Linked DNA regions of Caenorhabditis elegans. The protein of the gene in region 2 purifies or fractionates together with the protein of the main gene of each other region. This does not show direct contact. Each region holds a gene or a part of one and is shown on either strand. Other genes may lie near its edges.

Evidence for each region.
Region 1: the proteins of txdc-17 (region 2) and cox-17 fractionate together in Caenorhabditis elegans (co-fractionation; one large-scale study listed by BioGRID). This does not show direct contact.
Region 3: the proteins of txdc-17 (region 2) and Y94H6A.2 fractionate together in Caenorhabditis elegans (co-fractionation; one large-scale study listed by BioGRID). This does not show direct contact.

What each region holds. Positions count from the first base shown.
Region 1 is NC_003281.10:188,221-193,811, reverse strand, and holds cox-17 (Cytochrome c oxidase copper chaperone), read right to left. Parts: upstream 2,827-5,591; 5' UTR 2,816-2,826; coding exon 2,723-2,815; intron 2,048-2,722; coding exon 1,949-2,047; 3' UTR 1,831-1,948; downstream 1-1,830. Other genes in the region: sec-20 (Sec20 C-terminal domain-containing protein), read right to left, coding at 124-267, 960-1,042, 1,098-1,215, 1,268-1,376, 1,597-1,706; ubc-20 (UBC core domain-containing protein), read right to left, coding at 3,237-3,410, 4,371-4,497, 4,554-4,636, 4,704-4,799, 4,852-4,971.
Region 2 is NC_003281.10:2,831,710-2,837,970, reverse strand, and holds txdc-17 (Thioredoxin domain-containing protein 17), read right to left. Parts: upstream 3,309-6,261; coding exon 3,158-3,308; intron 2,930-3,157; coding exon 2,839-2,929; intron 2,010-2,838; coding exon 1,853-2,009; 3' UTR 1,710-1,852; downstream 1-1,709. Other genes in the region: josd-1 (ubiquitinyl hydrolase 1), read right to left, coding at 89-231, 298-367, 1,175-1,332; Y71H2AM.29 (G_PROTEIN_RECEP_F1_2 domain-containing protein), read right to left, coding at 4,188-4,439, 4,802-4,822; Y71H2AM.1 (N(6)-L-threonylcarbamoyladenine synthase), read right to left, coding at 5,093-5,178, 5,490-5,601.
Region 3 is NC_003282.8:2,727,712-2,734,252, reverse strand, and holds Y94H6A.2 (DUF4781 domain-containing protein), read right to left. Parts: upstream 3,962-6,541; coding exon 3,955-3,961; intron 3,900-3,954; coding exon 3,616-3,899; intron 3,500-3,615; coding exon 3,374-3,499; intron 3,318-3,373; coding exon 3,189-3,317; intron 3,142-3,188; coding exon 2,897-3,141; intron 2,352-2,896; coding exon 2,136-2,351; intron 2,084-2,135; coding exon 1,849-2,083; 3' UTR 1,831-1,848; downstream 1-1,830.

The DNA of each region.
Region 1 (5,591 bases), 2.6 Mb from region 2:
ATTTTTCTTTGAAAATTTGAATTTTTTGGGATTATTTTCTAAAAAAAATGAGTTTTTTCAAAAGGTTTTTTGGCTTTTTTTACTGAAATTTTCAAATTTTTGCCTGAATTTCATAAATCTCACCCCAATAAGTGCCTTTTGATTGTCATATTCGGAATGTGTATTCCCTAAAACTGACGAAGAATGTGCCAGCGTCGTCATTGTCTGCTCTCCGCCGCTCACGAGCTCCGCCATTTTTGCGTTGAGATCTGTTAGGGCTTTTGCGCGCTGAAAAATAATTTTTTTTCAAAAAATTTGTTTGGAGAAAATCGATTTTGGGTCTGCTAAATATTTAGCAGACCATACTTGGGTCTGCTAAACATTGAGCAGACCATACTTGGGTCTGCTAAACATTGAGCAGACCATACTTGGGTCTGCTAAACATTGAGCAGACCATACTTGGGTCTGCTAAACATTGAGCAGACCATACTTGGGTCTGCTAAACATTTAGCAGACCATACTTGGGTCTGCTAATCATTTAGCAGACCATACTTGGGTTTGCTAATCATTTAGCAGACCATACTTGGGTTTGCTAAATAATTAGCAGACCATACTTGGGTCTGCTACATATTTAGCAGACCATACTTGGGTCTGCTAAATAATTAGCAGGCCATTCTTGGTAATGAACATATTGAATTTCAAACATCCTCTGGCCGAAAAATGTGAAAAATCCACCAAAAAAGCGATGAAAACCTCGATTTTAGAACAAAAACCGAGTTTTCTCCGGTTTTTTTGCCACAATTGTAACGAATTTTAACGATTTTCTAGCTAAAAAAGCTTAAGAAATTCGTAAAATCCATTGAAAAAACTCAATTTTGAACAGAAATTCGAAAAAAATGAGAGTCTGCAAAACATAAAGATGCGAAAATCCGCGTTTTTATGGACATTTATCGATTTTTTTGGATGTTCAAGCTCCATACCACTTGTGGAGCCGCAATTTTAATATTTCCAGTTGCCATAGTCCCATCTCGCTTCATCAGCAGTGATCTCCGTTCTTCCTCGACTGAAAATTCAAATTTTTTCTCAATTTTTCTCTGATTTTTTGGAATTTTTTTTACCAATATCCTTTCGAATTTCTTCGGATCCCTCTTTCAACTTTCTCTGCAGAAAATTCATTTGTTTTTCGTGGCTTTCCACGTGGATTTTCACGGTTTTTTGGTCGTTTAGCGATGGAATCTGGAATTTTTTGGGTTTTTAGGAGAAAATTCTGGAAAATTCAGACGATTACATCTTTGCCGAGGGCTTTTAGGTCTGAAATTCGAGTTTGCATAGTTCTGAGCACCTTCTGTGCCTCTCTGACGTCATTCGCTAGCTGTTTCTTGTCATTTGAGCCATTTCTAAAATAAAAATGTTAAAATACTCGAAAATACTGAAAAAAAAACCAAGAAATATCACATTTTTAAACATAAAAAAAGTGATTTTTCGAATATTTCTTGGAGAAAAATCACATTTTTCACATTTTTTTCCAGAAAAATGCGAAATTTTCCATTTTTCTGCATTAAAAGCGATTTTTCAGATTATTTTGGGTATTTTAAAGTGCAAATTCCGTTTTTTTACCCAATTCTGACAACTTCCACCTTCTCCTTGGCAATTTCGAATATTCTATTGAGGCCCACGTGGAGGTACTCGGCCTCTTCCATTTTTTGCCGGCCCGTTTTTTGATCCATCTGGAAAAGTTTACAGATAAATAATAAAAAATAAACAATAGAGCCACGTGGCAAAATATATATATATATACATTTAATGGAAAAACCACGGTTTTCAGTGAGAAAAACTAATTTTAAAAGAAAAAAAAACAGAAAAATTCATGTTAAAGCTATGAAATATGAAAATTTGAAGAAAAAAAACAAGAAAACTAGCTACAGCTATAACAAAACATTCAAAAATGCAAAAAAATTAAAAATTTCAGTTAAATATTAAATCCGGCGGCTCGCATGCAGGCTTTATGGGCTTCGATCAGTTTTCCGCACTTCTCCTCGCCGTTTTCGATGATGCAAGCGTCACGGACCTGAAAATTGGGGTTATTTCATTTGTTTTGAATGGAAAATCATTTGAAAATGACGAAAAAGTGTGAAAATCTGGGGTTTTTAGCTAAGGAAAACGGGATTAGTGTAGTTTTGGGTCTGTTAAATATTTAGCAGACCCATTTTTTTTCGAATTTCTGTTCCAAATTGAGTTTTTTCAACGAATTTCACGAATTTTTCAGGTTTTCTAGTCAGAAAATCGCGGAAATTCTCGATTTTTGCTGTAAAAACCAAGAAAATTCCGTTTTTGAGGAAAAAATTAAGATTTTTCGAAATTGGGTCTGCAAAATGTTTAGCAGACCAAAATTGGGTATGCTAAATATTTAGCAGACCATACTGGGGTCTGCTAAATATTTAGCAGACCATACTGGGGTCTGCTAAATATTTAGCAGACCATACTTGGGTCTGCTAAATAATTAGCAGACCAAAGTTGGGTATGCTAAATATTTAGCAGACCAAAAATGGGTCTGCTAAATATTTAGCAGACCCATTTTTTTTCGAATTTATGTTCAAAATTGAGTTTTTTCCCAGAAATTCTCGATTTTTGATGCAAAAACTCGGAAAAATCAGTTTTGGATAGTCGAAATGTAAAATTTAGCGATTTTCAACCGCAAAATTGGAATTTTTCGCCATTTTTCCATTTTCCATCAAAACCTCACTCGTTTCGTTTCAGGACACGCGCAGCACGCTTTCAGCTTCTTCTCCGGTGCCACGCTGCCGGCTTCTGTGGATTTTTGTGGCTCTGCTGGCATTTTTTTGGGTGCTAAAATTATAGATTTTACAGATAAAAATGGAGTTTTAAAGATATTAAAAACGACATTCGCCAAAAATTTTCAGAAAATCGGATAAAAATTGCAGCTACAACTCCGTCAATATAATTCATGGAAAGAGTATCGTTGCAAAAAAAATGGGGGTCAAAGGGGGGAAATTTCAATGAATAATATCGATAATAAATAGGCAAAACACACACAAATCAGGCGGAAAATCTACTATTCTGATCGGTTTTTTTGGGGTGAGGATGGTACGAATTGGTAAAAAGAAATACCAGTGGTGCGGGGGGTTGGGGACGAAAATTTCTCGGAAAAAAATGGAAGAAATAAGGGATTTTTAGGACACAAACTTCAAGACAAGAGGCTCACAGAAAAAATTCAAAAAAATCGAATAAAAAAGAATTTAAGAGAAAATGTAGACCGTCGAGCGATTGATGTCCCAATTGTTGCAGCTGAGCACGCTGACAGCCTCTTCCTCACGGACTCCCATATCCTTGAGCTTGTCGACGAGAGCCTGGTATCCGGCGTTTTTCACGGCTCCCTTTGCGAATTTTGTCGTCCAGTACTCGGCGGTGGCCTGAAAAATGGTGGAAATTTAGTATATTAAGAGCATATTAGGCTATTATTCAGTTTATGTTGTCTATGTTTGTCTATTTTCTAGGCTACCTAAAGTTTTCAAGCGTGGAAATTGAGAAAATTCGAATGAAAACCAATTTTTTTTTTGAGATTTCTCGAGTTTTTACACTCACTGGAAACAACGAATTTTCGGGGAAATTCGAGTTTTTAGACTAAAAACAACTTCGCCAAATTTGTTGAGTTTTGGGTCTGCTAAACTTTTTTATAATTTCTTTTTGAAAAACAAATTTCGATATGAGCTGAAAAACTGATTTTTCTCGGCTTCTGGGACAAAAAGTGATGAATTTGAACGATTTCCTGGTTGAAAAACAAGAAAAAACCAGTAAATTCCGCGAAAAAAACTAAATTTAAAGGATAAATACGGGATTAGGGTCTGCTAAATATTTAGCAGACCATACTTGGGTCTGCTAATTATTTAGCAGACCATACTTGGGTCTGCTAATTATTTAGCAGACCATACTTGGGTCTGCTAAATATTTAGCAGACCATCGAAAACCACGTGGCGTTTCTACAAGCCTGCTAATTAGTTGGCAGACCCAAATTCTAAAGAAAATCGGCCAAATTCTGAAATTTCAGGGCAAAAATCAATAATTTTCCGAGAAAATCGTGCATTTCAGTGTAAAACAGTCAGAATTGTCTCCAAAATTCGGGAATTAACGAATTTTGCACGTTTCCCATCGAATTTTCTCAATTTTGACGCTTCAAAACTCGAGTTGGCCTGAAAAATGGGAAATTATAGATAATTTTTGGGGCAAAATACGCAAAAAAACACACAAAATAAGGGAAGATTTGGGTCTGCTAATTACTTAATTACTTAGCAGACCCATATTGATTTTTTAATCGGATTTCGCAATATTTTCCCCATTTTTCCGCGAATTTTCTGAATTTTCCACGCTGCTACCTTGAAAACTGCTGGCTTCTCCATGTATTGCTTGGCGACGACGGCATCTTGAGGATCCTTGGGCTCCGGTGTGCACATCAACGCCTGAATCGACAGGAGAACCGTGCGAAGAGTCAGCGAAGCGGCCCTGAAGTTGAAAATAAATTAAATTTTCCGATTTTAAAATAATAATCGCAATATTACCATTGATCCTTAAGAATATCGAGGCAAATGACGCCGGTCTGCGAGCTGACATTCGGGTGCCAGATTTTTGTGCTGAACTTGACCTGAAAAACCGCGATTTTTACACAAATTTCGACAATTTTCAAGCTTTCCAGGCAGAAAAACTCGTACATTTGGTGGCGAGAATGGATATTGGTCTGGAATCTTAATATCCAAATCGAACATTCCACCGGCGTATGGAGTGTCTGGTGGACCGCGGATGTGTCCCTGAAAACCGATAAAAATTGAGATTTCCGACACACAATTCGCGGCGTTTTACCTTGATTTCGGTGAGATTCTCGTTCAATATCTCGATCATAATTCCGGTTTCGCTGATTTCCGAGTTTGTGACGACCTCTTTGCATTCTCGTTGGAGTCTGTTGAATGCTATGTTCGACATGGTCTGAAAACGATGGAAAATAGTGGAAAAACTCTGAAAAATCGACGAAAATCATGAAGTTCAAGGAATTATCGAAAAAGCTTCGAGAAAGTCTGAAATTATCATCAAAATTATTCAAACACCAACTCATGATAAACAGGGCGCGCCGCGGAATTTCGGAGCATCGTTTGCAACTGAAATTTTTGTTTTTCCCCGAATTTCATCGATTTTTCATCGTTTTTCGTGAATAAAAATCAAAAATCATGTAGAAAAATGTTGAAAAACCAATTTTTATGCGAAAAATTGCTTAAATCACAGTAAAATTGAACAAAAACCCGGAAAAACCGGAGAAAACCGTGCGTTAAGTCGGAGCATCGTTGTCGCCGAGAAAAAACGGGTTCAAACGATCAAACCCGTGATCGGAAGTATCGATTCACAGATTGATTAAGTTTTTATAGGAATTTTAGTTTTTGCATCATGATTTTTCTCAAAAAAGAAAATTGAACGTTTTTGCCGAAATACTTCTAATTTTCTCAAGGTTTAGAGGGAATTTCCATTTGTTTATTGAGAAACCCGTTCAGAAAATATCTAGAATTGATTGAAATCTTCAAAAAAAATCTTGCCAGGGAACAATTAGGTCT
Region 2 (6,261 bases):
CATCAATTTTTTGGAAGAATCGGTGATTCTTGAAGAAAAAAAATCGATAATTCTAACTTCCGAATTTATCGATTTTTCGGCAACTCACATTCCATTTTTCTGAATAACTGCAAACCAATGTCGTCCCCTGTACAATGTGAGGAGGGTCCGTGATGGAATATTAAAAACCACTGCTTTCACATTTTCCATATTGATTTTTTCGACTGAAACACGCTTGTCGAACCACATTACCTGGAAAAAATCGATAATTATTGATTTTTCGAAGATGCGGAAGATCGGAGCATCGTTGTTGTTCACCTTTAAATCGTGTTTTTGAAGCGCCGCCATCAGGATATTCGCATCGTAATTTCCGGTTCCTATCCAGGATCTGAAAAAAAATTGTTGAAATTTGATTTTTGAAAAAATAAATAATTTTTCCATTTTTTCAAGAAATTATCGATTTTTCCGGAAATTATCGATTTTTTTCAAGAAATTATCGGTTTTTCCAGAAATTATCGATTTTTCCAGAAATTATCGATTTTTCCGGAAATTATCGATTTTTCCGGAAATTATCAATTTTTCCAGAAATTATTGATTTTTCCAGAAATTATCGATTTTTCCAGAAATTATCGATTTTTCCGGAAATTATCGATTTTTCCGGAAATTATCAATTTTTCCAGAAATTATTGATTTTTCCAGAAATTATCGATTTTTCCGGAAATTATCGATTTTTCAGGAAATTATCAATTTTTCTGAAATTATCGATTTTTCCAGAAATTATCGATTTTTCCGGAAATTATCGAGTTTTCCGGAAATTATCGATTTTTCCGGAAATTATCAGTTTTTTCTGAAATTATCGATTTTTCCAGAAATTATCGATTTTTCCGGAAATTATCAATTTTTCTGAAATTATCGATTTTTCCAGAAATTATCGATTTTTCCGGAAATTATCGATTTTTCCGGAAATTATCAATTTTTTCTGAAATTATCGATTTTTCCAGAAATTATCGATTTTTCCAGAAATTATCGATTTTTCCGGAAATTATCGATTTTTCAGGAAACTATCGATTTTTCCGGAAATTATCGATTTTTCCGGAAATTATCGATTTTTCCGGAAATTATCGATTTTTCCAGAAATAATCGATTTTTCCGGAAATTATCGATTTTTCCGGAAATTATCAATTTTTCGGCGTACCTATGTGGATTAAACCATTTACTCTCATTAAACGCATAGCAAATTTCGTCCATTTTTGTCGGATCAAATTCGGATTTTTGTAGAATATTGTTAACCGTATGGATAAGGCAGTATTGAAGACGTTGCTTTTCGTGATAAATTTCTGGTGATGACGTCATCTGGAATATAAATCTAATTGGGGTATTGGATGCTGAAATTTTTTCTATTTTTAAAATGTCGTCGAAATCGTAAATATTTTTTTTGCAGTTTATCGATTTTCTTCTGGAAAAAAATCGATAAAATATTGATTTTTATTCAAAAATTTCATGAAAATTATCGATTTTCTATGACTAAATTATTAACTTTTGTGCGAAACAAAATCGAATTTTATTTGAAAATCGAAATTCGAATTTAGTATTGATTTTTCAGAAAATTTATTCAAAATATCGATTTTTCCTTTTTTTTAATTCAAAAAAAAATCAAAAATCAATTAAAAAAAATTAAGCATAAAATAGGGCACATCCTCTTTTTGAAAAAAAATCAAAAAATCAAAAAATCCATCACCAAATCCTTTATATAAACTGAACAAAATTTTTTTTTTAAATAACAAAAACCATAACCCCAATTCAAAAAATCGTCTAAATATCACAACAAAATGGCGGAATTTTCAGCACAATAAATAGCCAAAAAATCGATAATTTAGTCTTCCTCAGTGAAAAAGTCCTTGACGAGATGCTTATTGGCAATTTGTCTCTCCAAAAGACGTTTTGCCTTGTTTCCAACTTCCAAAAGTGTCGGAATACATGTCAATTTGAGTGTTGGATCAGTACGGAATCCGACAGCTGGGTCACGCCATCTGAAAATTTGGAAATTTAGAGATTTTTTGCAATTTTTTTCAAAATAATTTTTTCCGAAAATTTTTTCTTTGAGAATTTTTCAAAATTTTGACACAGTATTTCGTAATTTCATTGATTTTTTTTTCAAAAAAATTGATTTTTTATAATTTTATAGATTTTTCGTAATTTTATAGATTTTTCATAATTTTATTGATTTTTTCTTTTAAAAAAAATTGATTTTTTATAATTTCATTGATTTTTTATAATTTTATTGATTTTTTCCAGAAAAAATTGATTTTTTTTATGATTTTATTGATTTTTTCTTTAAAAAATTGGTTTTTTTAAATAATTTTATTGATGTTTCTTTAAAAAACAATTGATTTTTTATAATTTTATTGATTTTTTCTTTAAAAAAATTTATTTTTTATAATTTTATTGATTTTTTCTAAAAAAAATTGATTTTTTTTGGAAAAAATCAATAAAATTATAAAAAAATGAATTTTTCCAAAAAAAAAAATGATTTGTCGTAATTTTATTGATTTAAAAATAATTGATTTTTTATAATTTCATTGATTTTTTATAATTTCATTGATTTTTTATAATTTTATTGATTTTTTATAATTTTATTGATTTTTTATATTTTTATTGATTTTTTTTTTCAAAAAATTGATTTTTCGTAATGTTATCGACTTTTTCCAAAAAAAATTTGATTTTTATAATTTTATTGATTTTTTATAATTTTTTGATTTTTTAATAATTTTATTGATTTTTCGTAATTTTATTGATTTTTTCCAAAAAATATTGATTTTTCGTAATTTTATCGATTTTTTTTTACAAAAATCCACGAACACTTCACGATTTCCGACGAAAACAGTGACAAAATGGACATCGAGTCCGGCGACGGCGGCGTCCTTGATCACTTCTTCGACAACTGGCTCAGCTGAAATTCAAATATATTATTTTTTTAATTTATAGGCAGGCGTGAGGTGAGCAGTAGGTAGGCATAGGTATGCGGTAGGCAAAGGCAGGCACACCGTAGGTAGGCATGTAGACTGTAGATAGGTGAGTAGGTAAGCACAGAAGCGGCAGAGGCTGTTAGCAGATAGGTACGCAGGGGATGAGCTAGGCGGGTAGGTAGGCAGGTAGGTAGGCCATCAAAATCTCGTACCAACAACACAATCCGGGCACCAAGACTCTCCGGTTGTCAGAATTTTGGATCCAGTGAACAGAGCGACGACTCGTTTTCCTTTTCCAATCGATTTCAGTGTCTCCTGAAATGCTTCGTATCCCTGAGCAGTGTAGTGTTTCAGTCCGGTCATCTGGAGAAAAAATTCATGAAATTTTCAAATTTACCACAAATTTTCAACAAAAAAATATTCGGAAGAGACATGAAAATCCTTTAAAAAACCCGAAAAATGATAGGATTTTATTTTTTTTTCTGCACTTTTGCACAAAATTTTTGAGCCATATTCCAAAATTCAAATTTTAAAATTTTTTTCTGAAAATTGGAAAGAAAAATTTTAATTTTCCCAAAATTTTCAGTGTTTTTAGGAATTTCTTATCGAAAAATTGAGAAAAAAAAACTATAAAATATTGAAAATATTTATTACGGGAACTCAAAATTTTGAGAATGCGTATTTCACAACATATTTGACGCGCAAAATATCTCGTAGCGAAAACTACAGTAATCCTTTAAATGACTACTGTAGCGCGCGGTTGTGTCGATTTACGGGATCTCGATTCTGTTAAATGAGTTGAATCATTTATTTATCGAGTTCCCGTAAATTGACACAACCGAGCTACAGTAGTCATTTAAAGGATTACTGTAGTTTTCGCTACGAGATATAGTTATATTTTGCGCGTCAAATATGTTGTGAAATACGCATTCTCAAAATTTTGAGTTCCCGTAATAAATATTTTCAATAGTTTATAGTTTTTTTTTCTCAATTTTTCGATAAGAAATTTCTAGAAACACTGAAAAATTTTGCGAAATTTAGAATTAATTTGCGGCAAAATTCATATTTTCGAAAAAAAATTAAAAAATCAAATTTCAATTTTTTTTCTAGAAAATTTTAGAGAAAAAAATAATAAAGTAAATAAAATCTTCGGAATTTCAAAAACCGATAAAAAGCAACAAAAAAAATTAATAAAAAAATTCAAAAATCCCCAATAATTTATTCCATTCAAAACAAGGTAATCTATTTAAGCAATCTCTTGAGCTCAGGCTTCGTCGATGCATATTCATTGATTGTAACACGGGCAGTTGCTCCAATTCCAACACGAACAGCAGTTCTAGACAACCAATGAGCATTCGAATGGATTCCATCACAAATTCCACGCATTTTCTTCACTTTTAGAAGAGATGAGCACAAAAGAATGACAGTTATAAAGCTGAATGTTATTGGAACAATTGAAATCAGCACAATCCATGAACTCATTTGCTCGAATTTCTGCAAAAAAAAAGAGGTTTCGGGGGGTTTTTACCTACGCCTGCCTTATGCCTAAACCTTTTGCTTTTGAAAATACGAAAAAAAAACGGAAAATTGGCGAAAAATGGCTGCCTACTCGCGTGCCTACCATTAAATCAATTAGTATTTCTTAACTTTTACTTGGAAAAAAAAACGAAAAAATCGTTGCCTACCTGGCGCCTACAAGCGTGCCTACTAGAAAGTTGGTATAAAATCACATTTAAAAAAAAACAATCACATCACATTTGCCCACCTGCAAGGCGACCAACGCCTATTGGTTCGGCGTACCTGCAGGCAGATAGTTAGGGCCTGGTAGGTTGGTTTCGGTAAAAAAAAAGCCATACCTCAGCACATCCGTCGACCATTTTGTTTCCCGTTCCTTTTTGTGCAAAAAACGTGTGAAGAACAGGAGAAAATAATAAAGAAATGATTGAAAATTGGACGGGGGATAACTATTTTCAAAATTTCGAGAAAAAAAAAACGTAAAATTTTAAAGAAATGAGAACAGCCACGCGGCACAACAACAACAACAAGAAAAGTGGAGAAAAATCAATAAAATTAACGAAAAAAAAAACAACGTGAAGCAGAAGAAATGCCTGCCTACGCCTGTAGGCAGGCAGGTAGGTAGGCACCGATTAATCTCTCCATTCAACGTGAACCTGATCCGTTCTATATCGCTGGGTGGTTGTGGTTTTACGAAGGTCGAAACGCATTCCGGAGGCTGAAATTGACTTAAAATTACAATTTTTGGGATAAAATTATGTCAAAAATCGCGAATTTTTGCATTTTTCGGTTAATTTTTTAGTCAAAATGCGATTTTCAGATAAAAATAAGTGAAAAAATTGATTATTAATGCAATTTTCGAATGAAAATCCTGGTTTTTTCAGTGAAAAATCGATTTTCCAGGTGAAAATAAGTGAGAAAATTGACTTTTAATGCAATTTTCAGACAAAATCCCTTGTTTTTTCAGCGAAAAAATCGATTTTTCAGGTGAAAATTCGCAATTTCTTCAATAAAACACACACTGCATACCCAACATGAGCTCGCCGGCTCTTGCAATCATTGCACCGTTATCAATACAGAATCGTTCATCAGTTGCAAATAAGTGAGCACCTCTTTCCGCACACATTGCTGATGCCATTTCCTGGAAGAAAATCGGTCAGAAATTCGATGATTTTTCCAGTAAAAATATTCAAATTTTTGAACTCAGCGCGGCGCCGAGACCTTCAATTTGACACCCAACAATTGGGTCTCGCAACGAAATATCGATTTTCCGACTAAAAAAACTTAATTTCAAAGTATTTTTCGCAAAAAATCAAAGGGAATTATTTATTGCCTCTTTTCAATTTCTTGTACGAGAAAAATTCAACACTCAAATAGTCAAGACGTGGGCGGAGCCTATTTTCGAAAAGTCGATATGTGGGCGGAGCTTGCTTTCAGTAAGTCAAGGTAGGGGCGGAGCCTATTTTAACAAAAAAACCAAAGTTTGGGCGGAGCCTATTTTCGAAAAGTCGAGAGGTGGGCGGAGCCATTAAAAAGTCGAGATGTGGGCGGAGCTTGTTTTCAGTAAGTCAAGGTTGGGGCGGAGCCTATTTTAACAAAAAAAACCAAAGTTTGGGCGGAGCCATTAAAAAGTCGAGATGTGGGCGGAGCTTGTTTTCAGTAAGTCAAGATAGGGGCGGAGCCTATCTTCGAAAAGTCAATATGTGGGCGGAGCCTATTTTCGAAGTCAAGATGTGGGCGGAGCCTTTTTTCGAAAATTCAAGATGTAGGCGGAGCCTATTCTCGAAAATGCGAGAGGTGG
Region 3 (6,541 bases), on a different chromosome or scaffold from region 2:
TGACCTGGAGCTTCCATGTAGGCGTTAAAACACCTGCCTGCCTGACCTTAAGACAACCTCCGCCTGCCTCTCGCCACAACCCGCTTCTTATGCTAACTAGTAAAGCATACGTGATTCTTTTTTTAATTTGTGATTTGATATTTATCAAATTTATAGAAATGAGAAAATTATATAATAAATTTGTAAATTCACGTAAAAATGCAAACAATGAGCAGGAAGGCTGGCGGGCAGGTCCCTGAAAACGCGCTTGCCTACCATGGAAGTTGTTTCCTATTGTGACCTACATCTTTCCCGCTTGCTCTGTTGTCCTCTATCCCTCTATAAAAATCAGGTGATTGTGAATTAGAGTTTTCTACTACTTGTCTACTACAATCTTCATAAAACAAAACGGAATAGATGTTAAACATATTTATTCAAATCGGAAGAAATTTAGAATGTAAAATTGTTAGATACAATTGAATGGTATTTAGGGGGAATGAGTCTCGGCTCAAAATTCATAACTATTTTGTTGCATAACGATTGATTTGACAACGTGAGAACGTATATAATCAACCACGATGTAATAATCTTTTATTTTACTGTAATTTCAAAATTCTCGAATCACCAAATGTTCCAAGAAACTTCCCCCAGGAGACATCTCACAAAAACACGAAGCATTATTGTTTTCGAATCTCTAACTGTAATCTTACATTTTATTCCGAGTTGATAGTGAGTAAATTTTACCCATCAAACTCAGATAAAAACCTGCAAAGAAGTAAAATCAGTAGAGTTTTTTTGATTATCATAAAAGATAAAATCTGTGCTGCCAGCTGAACGAAATTGCCGAATAGTATACATTTTCGCAATTTCCAATCTATCAATATACAGGGTGCGCCAAAAGTATGGTAACACGTGAAGCGCTCTTTTACATGAGCTTTTCGCGCGACTGCCACTTCATACATACAATTTTCTATAGAATACTGATAGCTGAATAAATTTCCTTCAATTTGACCTAAAATTTGTAATGTTTCCCAATAAGGTGTAACCTTTATCACCTCGGCAATTTGACGAACCCTTTCGGCAAAACAAAAAAAAAGTTTTGGCACGCGGCACTTCCCACACAAACGCACATCCCACGCACGCCAATAATTTTCAGATCTATGATTTTTATGTTAAATTCAAAGTTAAAGAAGTGAAGAAGCGTTTTTAATTGTTTTTGTAGTATTTGAAAATTTTCTGTATCGACACTGGCGCCTAGAAAAAACCTTTGAATATTTCATGAATTCAACTTTGCGAAAATTACTCAGTTTTTTTTGTCTTCACAAGGTGTAACGACCCACAAAATCATCCGAGCTTAATCTTCTATTAAAATTCTTGAAAGTCAGATCAAAACGTTCCCCGAAAAATACTAAAATGAGTTTTCCTGCATACTGCTGCCGCCGCTCACATCTATCTTTCTGGCGACTGTGTCATTCAAGGCTTCTATGTCATTCAAACTACTGCCACAGTCATACCATGACAGAACTTTTTTGGATTTTTGTTTTCAAAGAATCTCTAGACCAAGAGCATTCTTTGAACTATAAAAACTTGTAAGATACTTGATGGGTTCCTCGAAAAAAAAAAAGTAAAAATCCCGCAGAATGCCGACTTGCGTGCCATCAAGAACGTGATCTCAAAAGTTCGGAAAGCCTGCAGCGATGCGGTTAGGGAAATTTTAAAAATTTTAAACGTTAATCTGGTCAGTATTTCATGGAGATCAAAATTTATACAAATTGATGTAATAACTCTCGCCACACGTGAAGTTACAGAGCTGCAAACGTGTTACCATACTTATGGCGCAGAAGAAAAATCAATCAACAATAACTTTATTTAGGATACACCTGCAAATATCCAAAACGATTTACGATCATAGTTTTTTCCCAAAAAAGTCTTTTCGAAAAATCCCTCAATCAAGGCGCCGGGTCTTTTTGAATACTCATTTAAGTACCAGTTCACCGGTCCGAAAAAGATAGTAGTGTTGCGCCGAATGATCAACACAAGTCCACATTCATCGCCGAACCGTTTGCAAAGCTTTTCCGCATAATCAATCAATTTGAATCTGTAGCTGAAAAAATGTTTGGATCAAATGTTATGCCATTAAGCCGCAAAATACAAACTCGTATTCCATTGGAAGGGCAGCTTGCAGCTTTCTTTGAAGGTTCTCCTCGTGCCTTTTGCAATCTTGGGTTCTGAGGCTTCGTAAAACAAAAGCATTGCACCCGTTTCGATTGAAAGAAGATTTAAAATTGCGTTTGAAATAGCTGTATGAAGTGAATTGGTACTCCTCAGATGAACCGTCACAGAAATCGTAGACGATCACGTAAAATTTGTGGCTGAAATATTTTGGAAAATCAATTTGAAATCTGACTGTTTGCGATATGGTGTGCAAAAAATGGTTACATTTGTAAGTGGATGTGAGAAAAATTACTGACGTTCACAGCAGGGCTGTCTTTTTTTGAATAAATTTTCGGAAAACGCAGATTTTTTGGCTTTTTTGGTCTTTCGGGACCAAAATCTTTTATATTTTTTCACAAATTAAAAAAATTCCAGAAAAAAATTGGTTGGCCCTCAAAAGCCTAGAAATCATCAGAAATCTGCAAAAATCAACATTTGGAGGAATTTTACGGGCTGCGAAAATCGTGAAAAATGCATTGAAAATTTTTCAGAGCGACTTCTTTCCAGTTCAAAGTGCCTAAATTGACCGGGGTTAAATTGGAATACTTCCTTTGTAAGCCTAATAATGGAAATACTATTCACGTTTTAAATAACTTAACAGATAAAATAATTGCTACCCCGGTCATAATTTAATTTGAAAAAAGTAAAGTTATAATACACAATTACCCTTTTATGTCCCTTGTCAATTTACAAAAATACTCACTTTGTCATGATCTTGCCCAATTCTTTAGTCAAAATATTTCGTATATTTTCACTTCCCTCATTATTGTCTTGCACATTATGGATTAAACTTAAGACTCCATCGTCCCAGTACGAGTGATCTTGACGGTATTCTTCAGCCCATCTATTCATTTTCAGTTGTAATTCTTCGGTTTGCTTCTTTAAACGACTCGGTCCAATCATGTTCTTATCGCAAAACATTCCATTCTGGTACGTCTCCAAAATCAGCTGAATATGATACACTTTATTTAGTGAGGGATGTAGTGAGTACCTACACATTGGGCAAGCACTCCGTCGATTATTTTTCTCCATTTTTCAAAAGTTTCCGTTGGTCGAAGAGGATCACAGTTCATTGCCATTTTGAGAGGATTCGTTTCCTCCTGGTCGAGTTTTATAATCATTTGCTGGAAATTTGAAGCTGTCTAACATTGAAATCTTGTGATTCCTTAATAAGTCCTACCTCTGCAATCCACAAAGGTTTATTATCCGTCACAGCGCCACGAAATAGCTCTTTTGTGTATTTACAAGGATTGTTCATCGTATCCTGCATGTATTTCATCAACGTTTTGATTGTAGCGACCTCATTCTGCAAAATTTTGAGTAAGGGTAAAGGGTGAAGGTTAAAAAGGGTCGTGATTAACTTTTTTCCTGCGCAGAAGGCTTCGTAACCACACTTTGAACCAATATCTATTCCGAACATACCATGTAAAAGTGAGACGTTGTTATAAATGACTTAAGATCACCGAACAACGCGTCCATCTTATGTGACAGTTCCCCAATCTTCTTGTCGAGCGTTTTGAGCTCGCTGAGTATCAGCTCCGTTGATTTGTCATCTTTGTATGCAGCCATCGTAACATATGCACTAACTATAGCACCGCATGCACAAATCGCAGTTAAATGCGGAACCACTGCGGCGGACGCATAAGCCCCATGTACTCCTAGGCAGCCAGTGACCACCGAAATAAATCCCGTCGTGTAGTTTACAGCTGGAAAATTGAGAATTCGATTCAATTTCATATTATTTTAAAAATAGAATCTTACCAGCCATCTTGAAATATATAACTGTCTCCAAATAGAAAAGCAATGATGTCTTATCTTTCTTTTCTCTGTTCTTGTTTTATACTCTAGTGCTACACATTACACGCATGCCATTTTTCTTGTGGAACTAAGTATGAGGAATACTGACATTTTCTTTATCAGGAATGCTAGCGTCTTCCTCATAAAAATTCGGAAAGGGCAAAAATGTCAAAGAAAATTATGTGTTGAAAATACTCAAATATGTCAATAGTACCAAGTGACTCATTTAGGGAACACGATTTTTGGCATAGTAAGTGAGTTCCGAACTAAAGAACTAAACTATAAATTCTGATTTTTTTAAAAGATTTTAAAAGAAAGAAAAGATTTATTCACAAAAAACATGTAAAAGATACATTAGTTTTCCTTGAAGGTATTAGATAAAATATTTATTTAAAAAAAAAGAAATCGCAAAAAGATAAAATGTCGTAGTTTTTATTACAATGGAACGGTTTTGAATAAAAACTACAAATATTCATCGAACACCAGCAATTATCTCAAACTTTTGACCGTACCAGTACTGAAAAAAGTCGCCACTACCAAAAAAAAAGTCAGAACCATTGCCCTTGAAACATCTCTCAATACAGTCACCGGGTCCTCTGGGATAATCGTCTGGGTCACAGTTTACCCAACGTTTGCGAATGTTTCTATGTTTTCGAATAATCCCCACAAAGCCACATTCGGCGCCGAACGTTTCGCGAAGACCACGCACGTACTCACGAAGGTCATGAATGCTGAATATTGATTTAAATTAATTAATGGTGTTTTCTTTAAATAAATACCGTATTTTCCGTATTAGTTCATATTGCATTAACATTAACATTAATTGTCTTCAGTTAAACACATTATAAAAGTATGGTAGTGGCGACTAATATAGAAAATGCGGTACACTGTACTTACTACGACTGTGGAGGTGTTGCATCGAGCATCCTTCGAAGAATCTCCAGGAGATTATGCGGAAAAGCTTTGCGAACGGTTCGGCGATGAATGTGGACTTGTGTTGATCATTCGGCGCAACACTACTATCTTTTTCGGACCGGTGAACTGGTACTTAAATGAGTATTCAAAAAGACCCGGCGCCTTGATTGAGGGATTTTTCGAAAAGACTTTTTTGGGAAAAAACTATGATCGTAAATCGTTTTGGATATTTGCAGGTGTATCCTAAATAAAGTTATTGTTGATTGATTTTTCTTCTGCGCCATAAGTATGGTAACACGTTTGCAGCTCTGTAACTTCACGTGTGGCGAGAGTTATTACATCAATTTGTATAAATTTTGATCTCCATGAAATACTGACCAGATTAACGTTTAAAATTTTTAAAATTTCCCTAACCGCATCGCTGCAGGCTTTCCGAACTTTTGAGATCACGTTCTTGATGGCACGCAAGTCGGCATTCTGCGGGATTTTTACTTTTTTTTTTTCGAGGAACCCATCAAGTATCTTACAAGTTTTTATAGTTCAAAGAATGCTCTTGGTCTAGAGATTCTTTGAAAACAAAAATCCAAAAAAGTTCTGTCATGGTATGACTGTGGCAGTAGTTTGAATGACATAGAAGCCTTGAATGACACAGTCGCCAGAAAGATAGATGTGAGCGGCGGCAGCAGTATGCAGGAAAACTCATTTTAGTATTTTTCGGGGAACGTTTTGATCTGACTTTCAAGAATTTTAATAGAAGATTAAGCTCGGATGATTTTGTGGGTCGTTACACCTTGTGAAGACAAAAAAAACTGAGTAATTTTCGCAAAGTTGAATTCATGAAATATTCAAAGGTTTTTTCTAGGCGCCAGTGTCGATACAGAAAATTTTCAAATACTACAAAAACAATTAAAAACGCTTCTTCACTTCTTTAACTTTGAATTTAACATAAAAATCATAGATCTGAAAATTATTGGCGTGCGTGGGATGTGCGTTTGTGTGGGAAGTGCCGCGTGCCAAAACTTTTTTTTTGTTTTGCCGAAAGGGTTCGTCAAATTGCCGAGGTGATAAAGGTTACACCTTATTGGGAAACATTACAAATTTTAGGTCAAATTGAAGGAAATTTATTCAGCTATCAGTATTCTATAGAAAATTGTATGTATGAAGTGGCAGTCGCGCGAAAAGCTCATGTAAAAGAGCGCTTCACGTGTTACCATACTTTTGGCGCACCCTGTATATTGATAGATTGGAAATTGCGAAAATGTATACTATTCGGCAATTTCGTTCAGCTGGCAGCACAGATTTTATCTTTTATGATAATCAAAAAAACTCTACTGATTTTACTTCTTTGCAGGTTTTTATCTGAGTTTGATGGGTAAAATTTACTCACTATCAACTCGGAATAAAATGTAAGATTACAGTTAGAGATTCGAAAACAATAATGCTTCGTGTTTTTGTGAGATGTCTCCTGGGGGAAGTTTCTTGGAACATTTGGTGATTCGAGAATTTTGAAATTACAGTAAAATAAAAGATTATTACATCGTGGTTGATTATATACGTTCTCACGTTGTCAAATCAATCGTTATGCAACAAAATAGTTATGAATTTTGAGCCGAGACTCATTCCCCCTAAATACCAT